6 linked regions of the Xenopus tropicalis genome follow. The protein of the gene in region 5 purifies or fractionates together with the protein of the main gene of each other region. This does not show direct contact. Links are inferred from orthologs where the notes say so. Each region holds a gene or a part of one and is shown on either strand. Other genes may lie near its edges.

Evidence for each region.
Region 1: the proteins of abi1 (region 5) and eps8l1 purify together in Homo sapiens (co-immunoprecipitation; 4 studies listed by BioGRID and IntAct, with this or other methods). This does not show direct contact. The link is inferred for Xenopus tropicalis from reciprocal best matches to the Homo sapiens genes ABI1 and EPS8L1.
Region 2: the proteins of abi1 (region 5) and kiaa1522 purify together in Homo sapiens (affinity purification with mass spectrometry; 3 studies listed by BioGRID and IntAct, with this or other methods). This does not show direct contact. The link is inferred for Xenopus tropicalis from reciprocal best matches to the Homo sapiens genes ABI1 and NHSL3.
Region 3: the proteins of abi1 (region 5) and eps8 purify together in Homo sapiens (affinity purification with western blotting; 4 studies listed by BioGRID, with this or other methods). This does not show direct contact. The link is inferred for Xenopus tropicalis from reciprocal best matches to the Homo sapiens genes ABI1 and EPS8.
Region 4: the proteins of abi1 (region 5) and nck2 purify together in Homo sapiens (affinity purification with mass spectrometry; 3 studies listed by BioGRID and IntAct, counting the BioPlex papers as one, with this or other methods). This does not show direct contact. The link is inferred for Xenopus tropicalis from reciprocal best matches to the Homo sapiens genes ABI1 and NCK2.
Region 6: the proteins of abi1 (region 5) and brk1 purify together in Homo sapiens (co-immunoprecipitation; 3 studies listed by BioGRID and IntAct, with this or other methods). This does not show direct contact. The link is inferred for Xenopus tropicalis from reciprocal best matches to the Homo sapiens genes ABI1 and BRK1.

What each region holds. Positions count from the first base shown.
Region 1 is NC_030683.2:104,747,230-104,750,996, reverse strand, and holds part of eps8l1 (epidermal growth factor receptor kinase substrate 8-like protein 1), read right to left. Parts: intron 3,323-3,767; coding exon 3,161-3,322; intron 2,383-3,160; coding exon 2,233-2,382; intron 2,154-2,232; coding exon 2,071-2,153; intron 1,930-2,070; coding exon 1,713-1,929; intron 1,021-1,712; coding exon 912-1,020; intron 557-911; coding exon 510-556; intron 1-509. UniProt on the Homo sapiens protein: Stimulates guanine exchange activity of SOS1. May play a role in membrane ruffling and remodeling of the actin cytoskeleton.
Region 2 is NC_030678.2:90,219,296-90,222,265, forward strand, and holds part of kiaa1522 (uncharacterized protein KIAA1522 homolog), read right to left. Parts: coding exon 966-2,970; intron 1-965. UniProt on the Homo sapiens protein: Able to directly activate the TNF-NFkappaB signaling pathway.
Region 3 is NC_030679.2:157,979-161,745, forward strand, and holds part of eps8 (epidermal growth factor receptor kinase substrate 8), read right to left. Parts: intron 1,548-3,767; coding exon 1,436-1,547; intron 1,100-1,435; coding exon 956-1,099; intron 1-955. UniProt on the Homo sapiens protein: Signaling adapter that controls various cellular protrusions by regulating actin cytoskeleton dynamics and architecture. Depending on its association with other signal transducers, can regulate different processes.
Region 4 is NC_030678.2:110,097,410-110,101,176, forward strand, and holds part of nck2 (cytoplasmic protein NCK2), read right to left. Parts: intron 629-3,767; 5' UTR 613-628; coding exon 387-612; intron 1-386. UniProt on the Homo sapiens protein: Adapter protein which associates with tyrosine-phosphorylated growth factor receptors or their cellular substrates. Maintains low levels of EIF2S1 phosphorylation by promoting its dephosphorylation by PP1.
Region 5 is NC_030682.2:24,995,565-24,999,331, reverse strand, and holds part of abi1 (abl interactor 1), read right to left. Parts: intron 2,632-3,767; coding exon 2,455-2,631; intron 1-2,454. UniProt on the Homo sapiens protein: May act in negative regulation of cell growth and transformation by interacting with nonreceptor tyrosine kinases ABL1 and/or ABL2. May play a role in regulation of EGF-induced Erk pathway activation. Involved in cytoskeletal reorganization and EGFR signaling.
Region 6 is NC_030680.2:128,858,451-128,862,832, forward strand, and holds the start of brk1 (protein BRICK1), read right to left. Parts: upstream 2,873-4,382; 5' UTR 2,856-2,872; coding exon 2,738-2,855; intron 822-2,737; coding exon 739-821; intron 1-738. UniProt on the Homo sapiens protein: Involved in regulation of actin and microtubule organization. Part of a WAVE complex that activates the Arp2/3 complex. As component of the WAVE1 complex, required for BDNF-NTRK2 endocytic trafficking and signaling from early endosomes.

The sequences.
Region 1 (3,767 bases), on a different chromosome or scaffold from region 5:
GAGCTTTTTTAACATGCTTGCAACAGAGTCTTGTTATTATATTATTAGACTACAGCAGTTAAATAACAAGTTGGAAGTAGAAACTCCTTGTACATGTTGATGCTGCTCTTGTTGAAGTAGGATATTAGCTGAGTTAACCTTAGAATTATGAAAGTTCTACACACACCTGCAGCAGAGAAGACATTACATTCGCTTTTGGTGTTTCTGCTGAAACATGCTTACAATGGTATATCTGGGACTAAATAACCCCTACAGCCAGATTGAATGACAAAAATACTTCTTTCCTTTGAACTTGCATTGTATACAAAAGAAAGTAGTATTTTTATACAATATATCCATATCAGACATGTCGAATCTACAGGTATTGATAAACGACAGTTCTCAGTATCCCCCAAGGCTGGAAGGTGTAATTCTTAGTGGGTGAGTAGGCTGTGTTTCTTACAATGCAGGATCAGAGGACAAGAACTTTGTGATCCAACAACATGGAAAACTGACAAATTGGTACTCACCACTTCATGTCCGGATCGAACAGCTGATGGGTCTGTTGCTGCTTCTCCTAATAGATAAAAAGGCATAAAATATATATTATTTAAAGGTGAGTCAATATAGATGGGTCAATGCTATCCCAGGAGTCAGAAGGTCAGGTATATTTGGGGGGAACAGTTATTTGCTGTCCAAGATTGTCTAGGCTCTATGGCTAAATGGTTGATACACTAATGATTTCCTGTATCTGTAACTTTTCATTGAGTGAAGTGGGACTCTAAACAATGGGCATAAACCAAAAAAGTCTGACAACCACTGCTCTAGGTTAGTGCTGTATTTCATTTAACAGAAATATAGTTGTACTTTATTCTATAGTACATGAATCCTTATGCATTTATGACACATGAAACTCAAAAACTCAGCCTCACCTGGAACTTTTAATGTTTTCTGTTGCAGCTGAGGACTCCCAGACTCTTGTACAAACTGCTGTGGTTTGTCATGACGCTTGATCTCACTATATAATGGTTCCTGTGGGTACTTAAAATTATAACATAAAGTTATTAAAATGGAAGGGCTAATCTAGGGACACCATAAACCACTTTTAATAAGGGATGGTAGTAAAAGGTATACCCGGTGTATTTCAACGTAGCTTTCGGCACAGCCGCACAGCCCTGCGCTGTGTTTCCCTTATTAAAGGTGGTTATTGGTATCTATAGGCAAAACTAACACCTGCTTCTAAAGCAGCAAGAACGATGCCACCACCTCGAGGGCAGGAGCACTGCTACCCCTGGCCAAGCATTAATGGGTATTACAAGCATATGGGGTTAGGTGCTTAGGCTGCACACCCTGTGCTAGAGCGCATAGAAACTATTGGTTATTTATGGGAACCTACAAGCAAGCATATCGTGGGCTCATTTACTGAGAGGCAGCAGCTTCTAAGTTTATATTAAATTGCATGTTTGCTTTGAACATGTTTTTCTCCATAGATCAAGTTTACCTTAGCACAAGGATTGTTTGCACCTATGTGTGTTTATGTAACATGATTGCCACTAATACATTGCAACAGGGACATTCTACACAACACTTAGTGCAATGTGCTAGTGCAAACAGGCACAGAAGAGTGCTAGGTAGGTTCCTAGACCCCTTAGTAAATGAGTCTACATCACCTCCACGGGGCTTTAAAAGCGAGCACCAGCAGTCCTTCTTTATTACAGACTAAGCCACATTACCTGTGGTGTCTCAATTGACTGTTGCCCCTGATCAGTTGAACTGACAATGATTTTGGTCAAAGATGAGCGAGGTGGCTTTACCATTGGTTTACGTTGTGCTTCTCTCTCCAGGATTTCTGCTGGGGTAACATACTGTGATGTCGGCTGCCTCCACTGGCCTAGCGGGGTGAATGTATTCGGGCCAGGTGCACCCTGGGCAATCTGCTCCATATTGTTCCTGCACAAACAAATGCTTGCATTAGCTGGTTGTGATGAATATATATGTATATTTTGCCGTCTCAAGGATATTTAAAAGCTATGGGGAAAACAGCCCATAGTTGTACTAGGCCATAGAAAGAATTCAATCTAGTTGCCTCACCTTAGTGCTTCAGGACGTTTTGCATTAACACCTGACTGAAAATCAGACACAGCACTGTTGATGTCTTCCTTGATTAAATGTGCCTATAACATAAAAATAAAACATGTAAATGCCTGCACAATAAATATGCAGCCTCAGTCGGTGTTTATGGAGCTGTCTTACCGCAACATAATCAGACTGGAAGAAATACACATCAGGTTTTGGCTGATATGTGTCCTGGCACACCAGTATCAACAGAGGGTGGTTCCTTCTCTCTGGCAGAACTGTATCACATCGCTGGATGGCAGATAAGGGAAATTCTTCTAGTTCCTCCTGCAAAATGTCAAAATAGATATGTAGTTACCCTTTTAAATACACCTGTCTAAATCTGAAGAACAGCAAAAATCTGCAATAATAATTTGCTATTTGCTTGATTCTGTGCAATGCAATAACAGGCTTCAAGTTTTAATTCTATAAGGGTTTTATGTTATTATTTTCTTGTTACATACAAGCAGATAGTTGTCCCATTGTTGATGTGCTTAGTAAAGGTATCCCACTTTATAATGAGCCTTTTTAGCAGATATGACTTGTTGAGCTCCCATTATACCCTTTTGTCCGAAGGCAGGCTTTGTATGCTGGGCTATGGTGTAAAATAATGGCATGCTCACTAGTTACATATCCCTCCTTTACAATAAACATTACAACAGAATAGGCTGAGCACGCACGGCAGCCCTACCCCATGTGTAAAACAGCTAGCTAAGACATCCTCACAATAAGGAACCATCAAACGTCTTTAAAACCATGCAGACTAAACAGGCATTGTGTGCACAGAACATTCCTTCCCTGCATTTGTTCATTAGTTCATATCAGTGGGTGCAGACGCATTGACTCGGCTGGGAAATTCTCTTCACAGCACTGGAAGGGCATTCTCTATTTCTAGGCACTAGGGGTCCTGTTATTCCAGCACTTCAGTTATTTCAGCACTAGAATACATTTAAGTCCCCACTGTAACTAATACTTGTTCTTGTAGATAGCAACTACACTAGAGTGTATTAGGCTTAAAAGGGACTAAAAGCATCTACTAGAGAAGTAGCAGAAAGAGAGAATTCACCTTGCTGTTTACATCTACGAGCTTGACCACTGAACTGTTCACTTCTATTAACATTTCTTGGATCCAGATTTTCCCCTTGCTATCCACTGCATTCAGCTTACGGATGGCATCTTCCACGGTGTGCACATCATCATCCTCCCCAATTGTGAATGTAACCAGATGCTGGCAAGGAAACAGAACAAGAAGTATTGTTACATTGAAAGCAAGGAGAGGATGCTTCAGATCAGATAGGTTCCTGCATATCTATGGTCAATTGTGGCTAATATATAATATGGAGCACTTTCTGCAATAAAGATTTAAGCTGGAAATACACATACATGTTTGCTAGCTGGATTATACAGACGGATATTTATGTAGCATGGATATAGGTTAGTTCATCTTTTTGCCAAGTCTTGCATCTGCTGATGCATTATGTTGGCCTTTCCTTCAAATACTATATAGCAGTGCTGTCATACTTATACAGCTCATACTCATACAGCTTGTTGAAGTGCCAATTTTAATTAACATGATGTTGTCATACAGTGAATGCAGCCTCTAAGGCAGGGGTCCCCAACCTTTCTTATTCGTGAGCCACAGTCAAATGTAAAAAGACTCGGAGAGCAACACA
Region 2 (2,970 bases), on a different chromosome or scaffold from region 5:
ATCTGTTCTGTATAGCTGAATGCATGGTGATGCTAGGCAGCTGCACAGAGCTGTGAGAGCAGATCCGCCTTTCTCAGGTTGCGTAGATAACATAGCCTGAGAAAAGCGGATGATCCACCGTGTGTGACTCTGGCCTTAGGGCAATGACACATCGAACTACTAAATAGACAATACTTTGTATCTACAATATTGTCTTTATGTGTGTTTTAGCAGCGTCAATTCTAAGTATTGTTTATGGCAGGGTATTTACTTGCGATTTGTAGCCGCAACTAGTAGTAGCTGGCTATAAGTAGCTCCATGTGTCATAGCCTTTTATCTGGAAACCTATTATCTAAAAAGCTCTTAAATATGCCAAATGCGGTTTCTTTATGTGGCCATACACAAGCAGATTTAAGCTACTGATTTGGGTCATTGAGACCGATTTGGCAGCTTATTTGCTAGTATATATAGGCCTCCCCAACCGATATCTGGCCGCAAAATGGCTAGATGATGCTCAGGCAGGCTTGACTTTCCTGTCAATCAAGGGCCGCATTGGCTCATTGATGCGGTCCTCACTTAGACAGCTACTATCTCCTTTAGTTGCCTTTTGAAACAAACAATTCTTCATTTTGTATTCATTTGCATTTTCTCTGAAAAAAGAAAACAGCACCTTGTAATTGTTAATAAGCTAGCTTCAATCCATGTTTTAAATGTTATTAGCCACAAAAATGTAATTAGCTACCAACGTAGATACAGGAATATGCTAGTTTTGTTACTGTGAAGTAAAAAGCTCTGTTTAACTGTTACAGAGAAAAAGAAAATGGGTCAAAACTGAACTCTTTATGGATAATGGGTTTCCAGATAATAAATCCCACACCAACAATAGATTCTTCAGCTGTACTTGGAAAAATTATGTGATGGAGACATGCCAGGATTAGCACAGGGCTCTAAGATATATTGCAGATATTCTTAATAGATAATATTACCTTGCTCCACAGGTCTGGGTTGCTGCTGCTCATGGCCAGCCAGAGTTTCAGCTGCATTTGTCCCTGTTGCTGGTGGAGCTGGTCTTGTGTCACAGGGTGTACACGCACTTCCATTGCTGTCTCCTGTCGAGATGTCAGAGCTGGTTGATGTTCGTGGTTTTGCTAGTGATGGTTTTCTTGCTACTGGTGGAGGAACTTTACTTGGCTTTCTCTGTAGCGGGGGTTTCTCCTCTGGGCTCCGTGGTATGCCCTGTGATTTAAGTTCTGCCACTAGGTTTCTCTTCAGTGATGCTTCAGCCTCTTCTGATGCTGGAGGCTCAAACACAAACTTTTTTGACCCCCGGGAAAACACAAAACTGGCAGCAGAGGCAGGAGATCTTTGTGCAGAGGGGGTTTGTTCAGGCTCTGCAATTTTCTGTAGTGGCTTTGTGGTTTCTACATTGCTTTCCCCAGCAGGGCTATTAAAGCCAGGTGGGGATCTCAGAGAGAGTGATTTCCGTACAGGTTTTTGCGGTACAGGGACTCCAGAAAATGCCTGGTTTTTGTGCTCCTGTGGACCTCTGACTTGTACAGAGCGCAGTCGAACCATCTGTAGCAGAGAAGGGGTCACAATAGGCAAGTTAGCATCCTCCTTTGGTGTAGCAGCAACAGACTGATTAGGAGCTGCAATCTTTTTCGAAGGGGCACTCACTGGCTTCCATGTGCTTGGCTTGGGCCTGGGACTACCTGGCACCAGTGGGATGGATGATCTAGAGGTTTGTGATAACGGCACAGGAGCCATAGAAACTGTGCTTCTAGATGCAGTTGTGGAAATAGCTGGATCCACTGTGGATATAGATGAGTCCTTAGCAACATCTGATCCTGTAGTGGGCACAGTGCTGGTGGCACAGTTTAGCACTAATGGTGTGGCAACAGTATGTGATTTATAAGTTACAGATGGCACAAGAGGAGCATGTAAAACATCTGTGATAGCTGGCACCCCAAGAAGTGTAGGCTTTCCAAAAGAAGGTGTGGTCTCTGGGAGAGGCAGCACAGAAGTAGGTGTGGTCTCTATGAGAGGAGGCACAGAAGCATGTGTGATCTCTGTAACAGGAGGGACAGACATAGGTGTGGTCTCTGTGAAAGGAGGGACAGACATAGGTGTGGTCTCTGTGAAAGGAGGGACAGACATAGGTGTGGTCTCTGTGAAAGGAGGGACAGACATAGGTGTGGTCTCTGTGAGAGGAGGCACAGCCACAGGTGTGGTCTCTGCGAGAGGAGGCACAGACACAGGTTTGGTCTCTGTCAGAGGAGGCACAGAGGCAGATGCAAATACTGTGGGAATTGTTGCAGAGGCAGGAATGGGCTGTGGGAGCGTAGGCACAAAGGCAGACGATGGATCTATGGAAAGAGGCACAGATACAGGTGTAGACATTGTTGAAGTATCTGCTGAATTAACTTTAGAAACAGAAACAGGAACAGGCTCTGTGGAATGAGTTGAAGATGTAGAATCAGGAGCAAGAAAAGAGAGAGCAGCAGGTTGGGCCTCTGCGGCAACTGAAATGTCCATGTGTTCAATAGGTAACTGAGAAGGCCCCCTGCAACTTTTTGCCTCCTCTTTATATGAAACAATACATATTTTATCTGAATTTAGTAGAGAATCACATGCAGAGTCCAGTGACGGTGGTGGGGGCAGGAAAAGTTCCTCCTCAGGAGGAGGAAAATCTGCCATAGACGTATCTTGTAAATCAGGGACATCAGGAGGAGGTGGTGGCCACAGAATTTCTCTTTGTTCAAAGATTTTCTGAGAGATGAGCATACTCTGTCTTTCTGAGTCAGATTTTCTGGTAGGTGGTGGTGTGGGGTGATGAGAAGGAGGTGGTGATGCATCTGGTGTGCCACTCGGTGTGTTCACAAGTCCACTAATCTTGCTTGGAGGAGGGCATAAAGGAGCAGGCACAATTGGATGTGGAGGTATTAAACCTAGCCTCCCTTGTTCTCCCACTGAAGTACCAACTCTGGCTGG
Region 3 (3,767 bases), on a different chromosome or scaffold from region 5:
GGAAGTGATGCAGCTCTAACTGTAACAGGAAGTAGTGTGAGAGCAAAAGGCAGAACTGCCCATTCATTGGCTGATGGGGCCTAGCATGTATGTGTGCCTTGGCTTGTTTGTGTGCACTGTGAATCCTATGATCCCAGGGGGAGGCCCTTAATTCTTAAAATGGCGGTTTCCTATTTAGGATTACCCAAGCGCACATACTGCTAAATAAGTATATTTCAATGATAATGGTTTTACCCCCCCAAGCTTTATAAAGGTGAGCGCAGTAGGGAAGAAGGAATTACCTGAGACAGTTCTCCCAGTAATCGCTGTGGGTGGGGGGGAGAGAGAGAGTCAGATATAACACAACTGGCACCCAAAGGAGAGCCGCCATATTGCTCTTACACACCCAATGTCTCCATAACATCCACAGGCCAAGACACTCCCACCTGGGAAACCAAAAGCCCCAGCAACCCAGGGGGATTGAAAGCCACATCCTCTCTGAGAAAGGTGTGGCCCCAGGCCCCCCCAAAGGCCCAAATGAACGAACAAAAGAGGCACACAGGGAATTCTGGGAAGGGACAGACATGCAAACACAGCACACAGGGAATTCTGGGAAGGGACAGGCATGCACACACAGGGAATTCTGGGAAGGGACAGGCACGCACACAGACAGATATACAGGTATGTACCATTAAGGAGAACACACAGAAGGAATAGGGAGGCTAAAGGAAAAGCAACTTTGAGTCAGTGCAAAGGTAGAAGTGAATGATCAGAGGGGGCACTCGGGGAAGTGGTACCTGGAAGATCTCAAACTCCTCCTTTGGCATCAGAAGCTACAGACAGACACAATCAGCACTAACACACAGCTTGGCAATATAATGGGGGCAGATTAATCAACGTGTGACATTAGAGGCTGGGCTGTGTGTGTGCCGGGGGCACCATATCAGGTGGTACTGACCCAGGCGCTAGATGGTACCTGGATTGTGTGCGTGTACGCGGCTTCCATTGGCTTTGCTGACTGATCTTGTGGCTTCATTGCTACCAAAATATTGTTTGGCACAAAACCGACTGCCCCACTCGAGCTCCGGACTTTCCACCACTGCTTCTTATCATCGAGGACCTGGGGAAGTCACACAAGAGTCACATGTTTGCACTTTACTCTACAGGATTTGGGGGCTTCACTAAAAGCAGAACAACAGATTCCCCCCTTGGGATTTTTCTGGCTCCACCCAAGAGGAAAAATCAGTAGCTGTTAGGCTCCTCCTACATGAGGCAGATTCTCGGGGTGCGGATAAACTCCGCAAGCAAGGGACAGACACTGCTGTGCAAAGCAATTGGCAGAAATGCCTTTTTATTAGGAGGATGTTCTCTATACAAATAAAACAGCTTTTGGGTGGAGTTCCCCTTTAATGCCACTAGGAAGCAAACAACAAGCCATACAGTGGCCACACATTACCTCCAAGACATCATCTTTAAGGACAGAGAGTTCGTTTGAGTTCCGGGCCACAAAGTCGTACTTGCACAAGGCGTATCTCTGGGCCTCCACTTGGTCGCGCTCCTCAAAATTCCTTCAATAAAAGAAGAGGTTTAACTGAGCCAATAGGAAAGATCAGAACAGTTCATCACACTGTGTGCCCTGCTCATTTCTTAGCTGCTTGTTTATGGCAATGCCCAGATAAACAGGGGGGCCCGGGGCACTATATAGAGCACTAGATGTATGCTGTAGGCTTCCTACCATTCCTCAATCATCTTCCAGACACCCCCAACATGAGCCACCAAACAAGCCCAATCATTCCTCTGTCAGAAACCCCCAACATGAGCCACCCAACAAGCCCAATCATTCCTCTAGCAAAATCCCCCAACATGAGCCACCCAGCAAGCCCAATCATTCCTCTAGCAAACCCCCCCAACATGAGCCACCCAGCAAGCCCAATCATTCCTCTAGCAAAACCCCCAACATGAGCCACCCAACAAGCCCAATCATTCCTCCAGCAAAATCCCCCAACATGAGCCACCCAACAAGCCCAATCATTCCTCTAGCAAAACCCCCCAACATGAGCCACCAAACAAGCCCAATCATTCCTCTAGGAAAACCCCCCAACATGAGCCACCCAACAAGCCCAATCATTCCTCTAGCAAAACCCCCCAACATGAGCCACCAAACAAGCCCAATCATTCCTCTAGCAAACACCCCCAACATGAGCCACCCAACAAGCCCAATCATTCCTCTAGCAAACACCCCCAACATGAGCCACCAAACAAGCCCAATCATTCCTCTAGGAAAACCCCCCAACATGAGCCACCCAACAAGCCCAATCATTCCTCTAGCAAACACCCCCAACATGAGCCACCCAACAAGCCCAATCATTCCTCTGTCAGAAACCCCCAATATGAGCCACTAAACAAGCCCAATCATTCCTCTAGCAAAACCCCCAACATGAGCCACCCAACAAGCCCAATCATTCCTCTAGCAAACACCCCCAACATGAGCCACCCAACAAGCCCAATCATTCCTCTAGCAAACACCCCCAACATGAGCCACCCAACAAGCCCAATCATTCCTCTAGCAAACACCCCCAACATGAGCCACCCAACAAGCCCAATCATTCCTCTAGCAAACACCCCCAACATGAGCCACCCAACAAGCCCAATCATTCCTCTAGCAAACACCCCCAACATGAGCCACCCAACAAGCCCAATCATTCCTCTGTCAGAAACCCCCAACATGAGCCACCCAACAAGCCCAATCATTCCTCTAGCAAATACCCCCAACATGAGCCACCCAACAAGCCCAATCATTCCTCTGTCAGAAACCCCCAACATGAGCCACCCAACAAGCCCAATCATTCCTCTAGCAAAACCCCCCAACAAGAGCCACTAAACAAGCCCAATCATTCCTCTAGCAAAACCCCCAACATGAGCCACCCAACAAGCCCAATCATTCCTCATCACAGTATGGGTCAATCATCTGAGTCAGCAGCAAGAGTCCCCCCTCATTCCCAATCATATCATTACGAGGCTCACAAACCAATAATACATACAGTGCATCATTTCTCTGCACAGTCCTGCCCAATGAATAAGCCAGAGAGTTCCACTCTTTACTCAGCAAGATCCACTTTAGAAATACTGGGTTCTGAATCCTTTTTATTCTGCAGCGTGGTTCTTTAGAACTTTTTAAATTAGGTTAAGTGACAATGTTCTGATGGGGCCCAATAAAGTCTCTCCTCGCTATTCTCTACCAGGTGACACAGAACCCTCTCTCCTACACCTGCAGCTCTGGCCCAACCAATGGTCTCATTCTCACATTCTGCCCCCTGCAGCTGATTTCTGCCCCCTATAGACTTCTCTCTCTGCCCCAGAGACCCATGCATCTGCCTAATCCCACATGCCAAATGGCGCCTCTCTCTTTTGGCCCCAGGGCCGGGCTGCCTCTCCCAGGTCCAATACCCTCCTGCAGCTGAATGTAGCCCCCCGACTCTCAATAACCTGGGGGGCCTGCTGATACATATGGAGTCACTTACTGATCTGCAAATAAGCCAACGAGAAACCACAATGGTAGGAAATATTTTTATTGACAAAATGTATGCATTATATAATATATATATCTCTAAGATATGATCAAGTCTCTGGTAAATTAATTATTTTAGGGTTAGATTTCTATAATGTTCATGCAAATGTCTTTAATAAATTAACCTTCCTTATTTCTTTAGAAAACTCTGGCCAAATTCATTAAGGTCCGTTCCCTCCTCCCCATTAAGGTCCGTTCCCTCCTCCCCATTAAGGTCCGT
Region 4 (3,767 bases), on a different chromosome or scaffold from region 5:
AGTTCCCTGGCACAACTGGAAGTGCATCTGCCGACACTTAATGTAGTAGCACTGATTCTAGAAGCACTGTGAGCTTTGGGCACTAATAACATACATTAATAAAAAAATTCCTATGGTTTTATTTGTAAATGTAATTGCTATCAAAAGTAGTATTTCCTTATCTCTTTCAGTCATTCCTCCTGCAAATCTGTTCATCAGCTGGATATTGCTTCAGAACCAGAAACATATTTGCAATTACACTTAAAATTACTTTAAAACCATTAAAAATGTTTAACTCATGTGAAAGTTGCTTACAATTATATTTTTCATTATGCAAAAGGTTTTGGGTAGACATCTCCCTTTAAATACTGCTGTGTTAAAATTTACATTAAAATGTAGAAACCTACCCAGAGTGTCCTTTAAATTTTTAACAAGAGATCCTTTTTTTAAGCTGTTCTTCCTCTCCACGTAGTTTGATGGCACGTATCCAGTTTTGTTGGCAGTGTTTCTTACCCTCCACCAGGTTTTGGAGTCATCAAGTAGCCACAGGCGTTCATTTTTTCTAATATCAAGTTCTTGGTCCTGTTGTGCCGTATAATCCCACTTGGCAATAACAATGACTTCCTCTGTCATCTTTCATGGAGTCAATCTGCCAATAAAGACAATAAACATTTTATTACAGTATTAAAGTGCTATATAACTACAACCAATACTTAATAAAAGACTTTGTACAATGTACAAAGTACATTGTAATAAGTATTAAAAACGGTTTAATGAATGGTAATGTTAGTGATGCCAAATTTCTTTTAAAAATATTGTTAAAGGGTAAGTAAACATTTTATTCAAAGTTCTACACTTCCCGTTTAAATGTACATGTCTCATACTGAGTACTGTAAGAATTTGCATTCACGGCAAACCTATTATTATCCTTTATTTATATGCAGCCACAACTTATAAGTACTTTACAGAGATTATTCATCATTGACAGCCCCCGATGTTCAGTTGGATCAGTTTTAGTAGTAAGTTCCCAAGTGTAAATCAAACTTAGGACCTCAAAGCAGCAAGGCAGGAGTTCCAAGATCTAAGCCACCATGCAGGTCTATGACTAAATACGCCTAAATACTATAAATATTTAGATAAAACCTATAATATGTCATTAAAGGAGAAGGAAAGTTTCACTCACTGGGGAAGCGGGTATCAGGTAATGACTTACCTGATACCTCAGGCTAGTGCCCCCTTACTCTTCATTGAGCTTTATGGAGCAATTCTTTTCCTGCTTATTCTTTCTTGGTGCAAGTGCACATGTGCAGTAGTGTAAGAAGTACAACTCTACTATGCATGGTCAGCCCCGGGGGAATGAATAAAGAAGCAGTGGAAGAAGAGGAACGCTCTGTGGTGCTTGTTGAGAAGTACCCCAAGCTGGTGCAGTTTTCTGCTAACAGGAGCAATGACCCAGGGTATCGGGTAAGTGATTACAATCACTGGGAGGGTACCTAACATTTGGTACCCCCAGTGCACAGAGGCGTTCCTTTGTAAAAGAAAACTTGTCTCTAATAATAGTTAGGCTCAATAGTTAACTACCATTATAATCATAATTAACCTTTTTTTCAAAGTATGTACAGTATTTATGATCCATCCAAACCTCACCTTGTTGAGATTTGCTGAACAGCAATAAACCGGTGTCAAAGTACCCTAGACATTGCATAAGCTTTTGATCTAAAGGTTTTTTCAAACACTAAGTTAGAATTAAGGTCATTTCAGACTGTGCATTATTAAAAGAGAGTGTGTCTAGACTGCTATAATGATGTGTTAGTTAAGCCATATTGAATCTACTCTAAATTAGGCTCTGCTAAATAAAATATGATCAGCAAAAAGTACACAGCTTTGTCTTTTGGTAAAAAAAAAATGATTTTAACATTTGTAGCTTTTGGCAAATCTGTTGTACAGGTATGGGATCCATTATCTGAAAAGCAGTCATCCAGAAATCTCTAAATTACAGGAAGACCATCTTTCATAGAATTCATTATGTGTTCCTATCTTATTATAAACTCCTTATAGCTTTAGAATCATTAAGAAATATGCATTTAAATACACTAAGGGGGTATATTTATAACATTGTGCATAATGACTGTCCACAGATAAGGGGTATGAAATGTAGAGGACCATAAAACCAGCATGGACATAGTTCTGTACACAAATACTTAAACATATTTTACATTTAAAACCTGCTACAATAAACAGGTATAGGACCTGTTATCCAGAATGCTCGGGACCAAGGGTATTCCGGATAAGGGGTCATTCCGTAATTTGGATCTCTATACCTTAAGCCTACTAAGAAATCAATAAAACATTAATTAAACCCAATATGATTATTTTACATCCAGTAAGGATTAATTATATCTTAGTTGGGATCAAATACAAAGCACAGTTTTATTTTTACAGAGAAAAAGGAAAATCAATTTTAAAAATCTGAATTATTTGATTAAAATGGGGTCTATGGGAGACAGGCTTTCCGTAATTCGGAGCTTTCTGGATATCGGGTTTCTGGATAAGGGATCCCATACCTGTATACCCACATTCAAAGTACAACTTTGCAATTATGCAGATATTGACATGGTGTACCATAGCACTAGAGTGGAGATGCTTAATGTATTCTAAAGCTTCTTTATACACAAACCCTTTAAATATAACCTTAATTACATATATTTTTAAGCATTTTTATTCTGGTACAGGACCTGTTATCTAGAATGTTTAGGACCTAGGTCTTTCTGGTTAAGGGATCTTTTTTTAATTTGCATCACAAAATACATTAAACCATTAAATAAACCCCATAGGATGGTTTTGCCTCCAATAAGGATAAAGTTTTTCTTAGTTGGGATCAAGTACAAAGTACTGTTTTATTATAACAGAGAAAAAGAGAACCATTTTTAACAAACTGAATTATTTGCTTAAAATTAGGTCTATGGCTATGGAGATGGCCTACCATTAATTCAGCGCTTTCTGGATAATGGGTTTCCAGATAACGGATCCAATACCTGCAGCAGAAGCTATGAAATATCTTACTGCTTTCCCCTATATTTTTCTTTTCCTTTTATTTACACAGCACTAACATGTTATGCAAAACATTACATTGTTAGTTATTCACTCTAGTGCCTGCTCCAGTGAAACTAAGGGCAAGAACCAACGGAGCGGCGGTGGAGTCGCCTGTGATAGATTTCTGCTATCGCAGGCGACAAACTGTCCCTGAAAAAAGGCTTTCCACCAGCAACAACAGCAGTCCTGGTCGAAAGCCCTTTTGCATCGCTTCTTTATCCGAACTCCTGCGAAGTTGCCAGCAGGAGGAAACTTTGCGCAACTTCTGATTATCTAAGTCAGTGCTGTCCAACTTCTGTGGTACCAAGGGCTGGAATTTTTCTTGCCTACATGGTGGAGGGCTGATAATGGAAGCCAGTTTTGACCACTCCCCTTTTTTAAACCACACCCACTTCAAACTGCACCCATGCTATCACAAGAGCTTTTAAGACCATCCCCACATTAATGGTGGCAACACAGCAAAAACCCAATGGTTGGTGCTCACTGAAGGGATATCACCCTTAATTTATATATGAAAGAATTATATTATGTCATACACTTAAATCGATATGCCTCCTCCTCTTATGTGGATAGCACAGCAACCCCCCAGCATATAATTACACCCCTTGGGGACCATATAATGACTATTTCCAAATGCCAAACTCCAGGAACAAACCCCTGCCAGGTTCACCTTCCACAGGCAGCATAGGGCAGGG
Region 5 (3,767 bases):
AGTTGTATTTTATTTTTTTAATCCCACACATCTTCCTGTAACATCTAGAAGCTGCGTTATTTCCTGTCAGCTGATCACACAAGGTGGCTCAAAGTAAAAGATGCAACTGGGTAATATCAACTTCTAATTATAAAGCAGCTGAATAAATTTGTATGGCTGGACACTTAATAGCATATAAATGATCTAATATGGTTCAGAACTTCTAGTTCTCCTTTAATGCATGGCAATTCTAGTTATCTCAGTAGATCTGCAAATGTCCATTCAAGCCATATTGTCATTTCATCATAAAATCTGCATTCAAAAAACAAAGGAGGCAGACAGGTCTTGTGGTGCGTAAGGCCAGAAACTGCTGTGACCATCCCTTTAAAGGGCGACCAACAAAAAAAATGGTTCCATTTACTTTATACAAATGCCTGGAGATTTAGGCTTTGGGGCTGTAAGCAGGGTGGAACTTGTTGCCGCCATATAAAATAATCAAACACCAGAAGATAATTATATATACACCCCTTGATGGTCTGTCAGACCCACAACAACCATTTTATGTATATGGAGCCATTTTATTTGTATTAATGGACCTTTAAGGGTAAACTTTTATTTATAACATGCAACGTGTAGTACCAACAGACTTAGATGCAGTGATTTACACACCCATTTAAACAGACAATTGTGTGAGCATTTCATAACAGTGCAAAATAACTACTTTATTGAAGGCCAAGGCTACTGTAAGTAGTATAATGCAGCCAGTGTACTGTAATACAATTTGCAGTTGGTCTTTTTAATGTGAATACAATAAGTTTGTTTTACAGTTCTCCAGTGAACACTATGCAATTACTTGTGTCACTGACTGAAGGGGGGAAAACATACATTTTACACACATTTATATATCTTTGAGAAAAAAAAAAGTCAACTGCAAAGTTGCTTAGATTACCTACATCTTCTATATACTAAAAGTAATGTGAGAAAAAAAAACTTCATGAAACTATGCTTAATTAGATCTTTAAATAATGTCATGACTGCTGATGGTGAGTGAGAACTGCAGTTGTTCCGGGTTATTAAGGCTTTAGCAGTTAAGGGTTAAGGGACTGTATATACCTATACACAACTTTACTCAGCATGGCCACAATAAACAGGACTTGTGCTGACAATGCATTCTGGCTATACTTTTCATTAATCTAGTAATTAAAAGTTGTGTTGCATTTTATAGGAGCACTCGCCCCCCAACAGGTGTGCAAATGCATATAAGGACCTTTATATAAACAAACCCCTCCCTTGCCTATGCTGAAGCTTTTGAGATAAGGAGCAGTGTATTATACAGAGGGCTTATCTGTGAACTGTTCTCTTTTTTTTTTATTATTATTTCTACCACCTACTACTTCTCAAACAGTGACAAGGAAAAACAAGGAAGAAACATGAATTGAGACAGGAAGTTGGAAAGTTAAAGTGGTTATAGTTTTTGTTCTAGGCAAAAAATAACAAAAACCATAGATATTCCTTAATTAAAATAATAGGCAAAAGATATGTTCAGCACAAGCCCAATTCATTGAGCTCTAGATGAAATGGAAGGGGGGGAGGGGTTATCCTGGAGCTATAAGTATTGATATACAGTATATTGATATTTCATTCTACATGTAACTGATCAAAACATTAACCAGTGACATCTTGCCGTAGCACACAGCACAGACAAACACTGCAGGAAAAGACAAGATAAGAACTAAACAAAAAACAGCATGAGAAAATATATAAAGTTGTTGCATAAAAGATAATTCATGTTGCTATAAGTAATAAAGAAAAGATAGCTGCCCTGTTCTTCCCAGCTTATTTTCTCTTGCAGCCATAACATGCAAACCAGCTGGTAAATCAATTAAGGCTTAAATTAAATATAAATCCTTGAAATAAATGTATGTAAAATAGCTCAGAGCAATTTTACAATTAGCTGAAAATTAATTTTATGACAAAAAGAAAGTCTTGTAATGTGGATCTGCTTTGAAAATGAAGATAGTGAGCAGAGAAGAGGCATCTGACGCTTCTCTGGTCGCTTCGAACCAGAGCAACGTTACAAGACATTCCTTTTCTAACCAAATTAATTTTCAGCTGACTGTAGCCAGTTGGCCAAAATGACCAGCAGGTGGTGGTGTTGTTTAAAATTCATTATATTAGCAGACAATATTTCATCAAACATAAATTTGGCTTCTTTTCAGGTCATGGACAGCCCCTATAGATAGAGTATATATTGGAATTCTGTGTTTCTTTAATCTTTCCAGTACCCCCTTGCTTTAGAAGTAGGTAGATTACAGGATGTTATCCAAGTACAGTTATTCCTCACTAAGCCAATATGTGAGTGTTTTGCCAACATATTTCTATTCCATATTAACATGGATGAAGCCACCATACATGAGTTGTATACATACATGAGTTGCATACAAGGGCAGCATAGGAAGCAGAGAAGCAGCTTACTTGAGTTTTGAGAATACAGAGGCCCGCCGTTGACATGAGGTTGGCCAGAGAACTGAGAAGTCACAGAAGGAGTCCGTCTGTAGCCACCAGAAGAAGCAGAGGAAGTGGTGGAGTTGTGCCGAGAGATCTGCCTGGTCATTGAGCCAAACTGGGAACCCGGTGCTGAGCCTGTGCCCACTGCAAACAATTTGCCAGCAGCGATAGCATAGAAAGCAAGGAAGCATCAGTAAAGCGGTAAGGAAGAACCAAGCTAAGCACTGACATCACCCAAATCGCATTTAGGCTTTAATGCCAAAACACATACAATAAAATTGCTGTGCCACTAGATAATTTCTATTGATGCTATAATCCTCCCAAATTCTGTCAAAGACCTTGGTGACTGTCCAAGGTTCAGCCTGCATGCCACTGACTGATCTATTTGCTTGTTTGGCTTACATGCAGGGTCTGACTGGGTTGATTCACAACCCAGAAATCTAGTCTAAAACTCAGAATGTTCCATCCTGCCCAATAAAATTAAATTGGGCAGTTGCATTACTTTGGACCTATTAGTGAACAGATGCAAAGACAATTTGTTCAGAAACAACCCACTGACGCAACAAGAGGCATGATCTTAAATAATCAAGGAATGGAAAATTACATATTTGTTTTTTTTCTGGCTAAGGCCAAGAGTAGGCCATTCCGATTAGACCCCACTCATTTCCACAATTCCACCTACGCTTAACCACTACTAACCCCAGTAAAAATGCTGTTTCCTGGGGAGAAATTACATCAATTATTTCAACAATCCATCACCAAATAATGAGTTAGATATTAGCAGTTTAGATGCATGCTGTTTGCTAAGTACCTATTCTTGTACACTTTCCTTTGTGCCATCACACACTGAATGTTCTGGAGTTTATACAACTTACATGTATATAAGGAAAACTTCCTCACTACATTCATTATGAAGGTTTTACCTCCACGTATATCTGATGGCAAGGAAGGTCTGCAAGATTTCTCCTACGGAAAGCCTCTTAAATGAATGCTCCAAACAAGCTGATGGATATTGATTGCTCTGACATGACTGCTTGCTTGCTGCTAATCAGTTAATAAACAAGTAAATGGAAATTAAATGTGATGTTCTATGGATTTTCTTCACTCTGTTGACATGCTGCACTAATGGGGAAAATAATTCCCAGCAATACACACTTTTGATACAGGAACACAACCAGAGAAAGGGGGGGGAAATCAAACACTTGATCTGTTCCAAACAATATTCCAAAAATATTCTGGCAGAAATTATAGGGGAAGGCAATGTGCAAATGAACTTCCAG
Region 6 (4,382 bases), on a different chromosome or scaffold from region 5:
TATTACTGGGATGTGGCCATAAGGGTACAATGCCCAAGGTTGTCACAGCTAGCACAGCGAGTTAATATAATGCTATACGCCCTTTTGTGAGCACCATTCTGCTAGCGGGTATAGTGGCCCTTTAAGTAATTTTTAAGCTGCCATTTTCAAGAGCAAATTGCTGAAGCTGACTGGCAGAGGGCCAAGGATTTATTTGATATGCAGATGGTTTCTCCAATAGCCACCCCTCAGTCTCAAGGCATTTGCTGCTGTACCGACAGCCGGGGAGATGGTACATGTGCCCTTTGGCACAGAAGAGCTTTATTAGTTCATTGTGAATAAGCATTTGATTCTCTTGCTTATCCAACATGAAGCTTGCTTAAAAGCAAAAAGGGGGCTTTACACATAGCCGGCATATGGAGAGTTCAGGTGGCATTCAGTGCATGTCAGCCAGCCAGTAAATTAACAGTGGGGGCAAAAGTATTGGGCAATATATCTCCATTATATATTTCCATTAGATGGTCACATAGGGTGTTTCAATCAATGCTATTTGTTTCAGTGGCTAAAAGACCCACAGATTTCTGGGGGTTACATCACAGGAAGTCACAAGGTCAGCATGTACAAGTCATATCAGGTCAAGGGTGATCTATAAAAGGTTCCTATTAATGCCATGGTTGCTTCCTAGTGACAAACAAAATATCAGTATGCCCCATGTGACATTGTGCCCCCCACCAAATCAAAACATATAACATTACATACCCTTGCTTCTATATACTCAATTCTTCTTTCTAATGCAGTCAGCTTTTCATTTAGGGTTGCCAGTCGTGAGCGACAAGACATATCTTGAAGAAAGCAGAGTATAAGGTTACCACTGACCAACGCATTTCACAAGTCAGCCATAGAGAGCACTGCCTATATTTGCAGTGTAACAAAAAATAAAAGATACCGATAGACTTACATGCATTGCATTAACAGGAACTACTACATTTGCAGGAACTGGGCAAAAAAAAGGGGAACTCCACCCAAACACAATTTAAGCTTTTTAAAAAGAAAACATAATTTCAAGCAATACATCAATTAAAAAAATATGCAGTTTTTTTTATGATTTTTAATATGGTTTGGAACAGTTCCCTAAGCCCAGCCCCCTGTTCCTCTGCAGATCTACTTTGAGACTTAAATAAAGTAGTCGGCTGCCCTCAGCCTGCATCCTCCCAATCCCATAATCCTTCTGAGGGAGCAGCCCTGACGCCGCCTCCCCTTTCCCACCCTGCACTTACAACTACAGCATCAGTGGGTCAAATGGGTGGCGGAATCACTAGTGCACAGACCACTTACCAGAGGCAGCTTTTTGCCACCCCTGGTAACTGGCCGATCACACCATGTGTGGTGTGCCTTGCCTCATTGCAGGAGTGGCCCTGTCTCTGATTTTGTTATTTCTTGCACTAAACATGGCAAAATTAGAAAATGGAACTAAAATCACAGTTTCCTTCCTGGTCCTAAAGAGCAATGTCAACCAATACTCTCAATATTAGTGAAATTAGTCCCAATTTCTAATTCTGCGGTGCTTACAAAAAACCATAAACGTTTCCTTACAGTCAAAAGTATGTTCAGCACAAGACCTATATATTATCCAATGTTTAAAAAGAAGGCATACGGTCCCTTTAACCATGGCACTATGCTTCACACATGAGGCAGATGTGGCACAATAAGGCAAAGGCACCCAGCAACAAAGTGTCCCTAATTTGCAAATACTGCCAACCAGGATGTACTCTGTGGTTCAACCATGCAGATTCATGTACTGCTTAGAAAAGGTGGCCAATAGGGATGCACCAAATCCATTATTTTGGGGATTTGGCAGAACCCCAAATCCTTCGTGAACAATTTGGCTGAATACCGAACTGACAATTGGACAATTGAGGGTTAAAAAAAAAAAAATCACCTGATTTTAAGAATTAGGTTTGGCGAGAGGCATAGATTTGTGTGAGAATCTTGGCAGAATCCTGGATTCAGTGCATCCCAGTGACCCAATTACTAGTGGATGTGAGGAAAGAAGCATTAGAGGCAGGTCCATTAGCCACCATCACCATGATCACTGCATCATTCCTACAGCCTGTGCGGGCCCTCCATCCCCTGCTCACTGTAATGTACCTGCTTTCACTCACACAGTGTAACATGCTGCTTTCATTCTCCCCCTCTCCCTGCTCATAGACATATGGGGCTTATTTATTACAGAGTGAAAGCCAACATCACTAGGGATGTTGCCCATAGCAACTAATCAGCAATTAGATTTGAACAGTTAGAGAACAAAAGCAAAGATCTGACGGTTACTATGGGCAATATCCCCAATAAGGTTACTAATTACACCCCCAGTGTAAATGCTGCTTTCACTCTTACACTTCACTCTATATATAGTGTAATTACCCACTGCAATGTACATGCTGGGATCTATATAGTACAGTGTATAAATTGCTTTTGTTTGACACAAGTAATGGAGTAGCAAGCCATGGTTATATAGTGTAGGCACCATGGCCATTGGTAAGATAATAACAAGGCGACACTGTCACACTGGAGGCTGTACAGCTACTGGGATGCACAAGGCCCAGAGGATTCTGGGAGCTGCAGTTAACAGGGCAGGATGGAGAGGCTGGCATCCTATACACAGGCGCTGCCCATCGCCCAGGCATACAGTGCCCAGCCCTGCCGGCCCTACGCCCTAGGAAGGATCCCCTGCAGGACACAGCGCCGCCCCCACTCTCACCAAATGAGTTCAAGAAGTCGGCGATTTTCTTGATGCTGCTGGTGATCACCTCGATGTACTCCCGGTTGGCCCAATCCTGGTGAATCTCTCTCTGCACAGGATCCTCCTGACTGGCCATTTTAGCCTCTCTCCCTATCTATAGCACAGCCAAGGGAAAAATACAGCGTCACCTACTGCGCATGTCAGAACGGAAGCGCCCCCAGCCTTCACCAGTGGCCGCCATCTTTAAAGTGGACTCAAATGAATAATGCAAGCATCAAGAACATAAGTGAGACGTGAACAACCGGAAGTTACGGCTTATAAAGGTTCAAATAACAAATGTCACTATATTTGAGTGTTGTTCAAACCTGTGCTTTCCACCCCGAGTGGTTTTTACAAGCCGATACAAATATGTCTGCCGCTGCGTCGGTAGGCTCTTCTGCGCCTGCGTATCGGCCGAAGCGGAACTGACGTGCGGAATGATGACGGGCGTATGAAACAGGTAAGGGCTGGTGCAGGTGCAGGGGGTTATAAGCACAGGTATTATGGCGATTGGGTAGCTGCTGGATTGTGTAAATCCCCCGGGAACATGGGATTAGGCGTTTCGGCTGTCCGATAGTCGTGCGGGAATCCATTGACTCTGAAGCTCTCTGCAACACTCATGACGTAGCCTGGAGGTAGCGGTGATGTAATATGGCAGCTTTCTCTAGAGACCTTTATTCCCTGAAATCAAACACTGCATGCTGGGAGAGCGGATACTATCTTACAGGAATAGATAATAAAGGGTAACTAAAATTGCCTGTAATTAGGATGGCAGAGCAAATATGTTCATTGTTGGAGAGATACTACTTGAATGCACTGTATGATTAAGCACAACCATAAGCTGTTATTAGTTATAGGCTTCTTTCCTGTACTGTTTGCCTCATTATGGACTATGGATACTGAAGTTTATAGCTACCTGCTAGCTGCTAGCTGCCCCTTTACTAGTATGGGGGAAAACTGGCCAAAGGGCATTAACTCATAGCAGCCGGTTATTCGGTTTTATTTTAATAACTACATTAAACCAGTCAAAGCTAATGTTTTGTGTTTGAATGAAAAGAAATATTGGTGCAACAACATGGTACAGGTATGGGGCCCGTTATCCAGAATGCTCGGAACCTTGGGTTTTCTGGATAAGGGGTCTTTCTGTAATTTGGATCTCCACAACTTAAGTCTACTAAAAGATTATTTAACCATTAAATAAACCCAATAGGGCTGTTCTGCCCCCAATAAGGGGTAATTATATCTTAGTTGGGATCAAATACAGGTACTGTTTTATTATTACAGAGAAAAGGGAATCATTTAACCATGAAATAAACCCAATAGGGCTGTTCTGCCCCCAATAAGGGGTAATTATATCTTAGTTGGGATCAAGTACAGGTACTGTTTTATTATTACAGAGAAAAAGGAAATACATTTTTAAAAATTAGAATTATTTGCTTATAATGGAGTCTATGTGAGCTGGCCTTTCCATAATTCGAATGTGTTGGTAATGTGTTTCTGGATAACCGATTCCATACCTGTACTGATATTGTTTTACATTAATGTTTAATTAAATTATCCTTATACAGGTATTGGACCCCTTATCCGGAAACCCATTATCCAGAAAGTTACGAATTACGGAAAG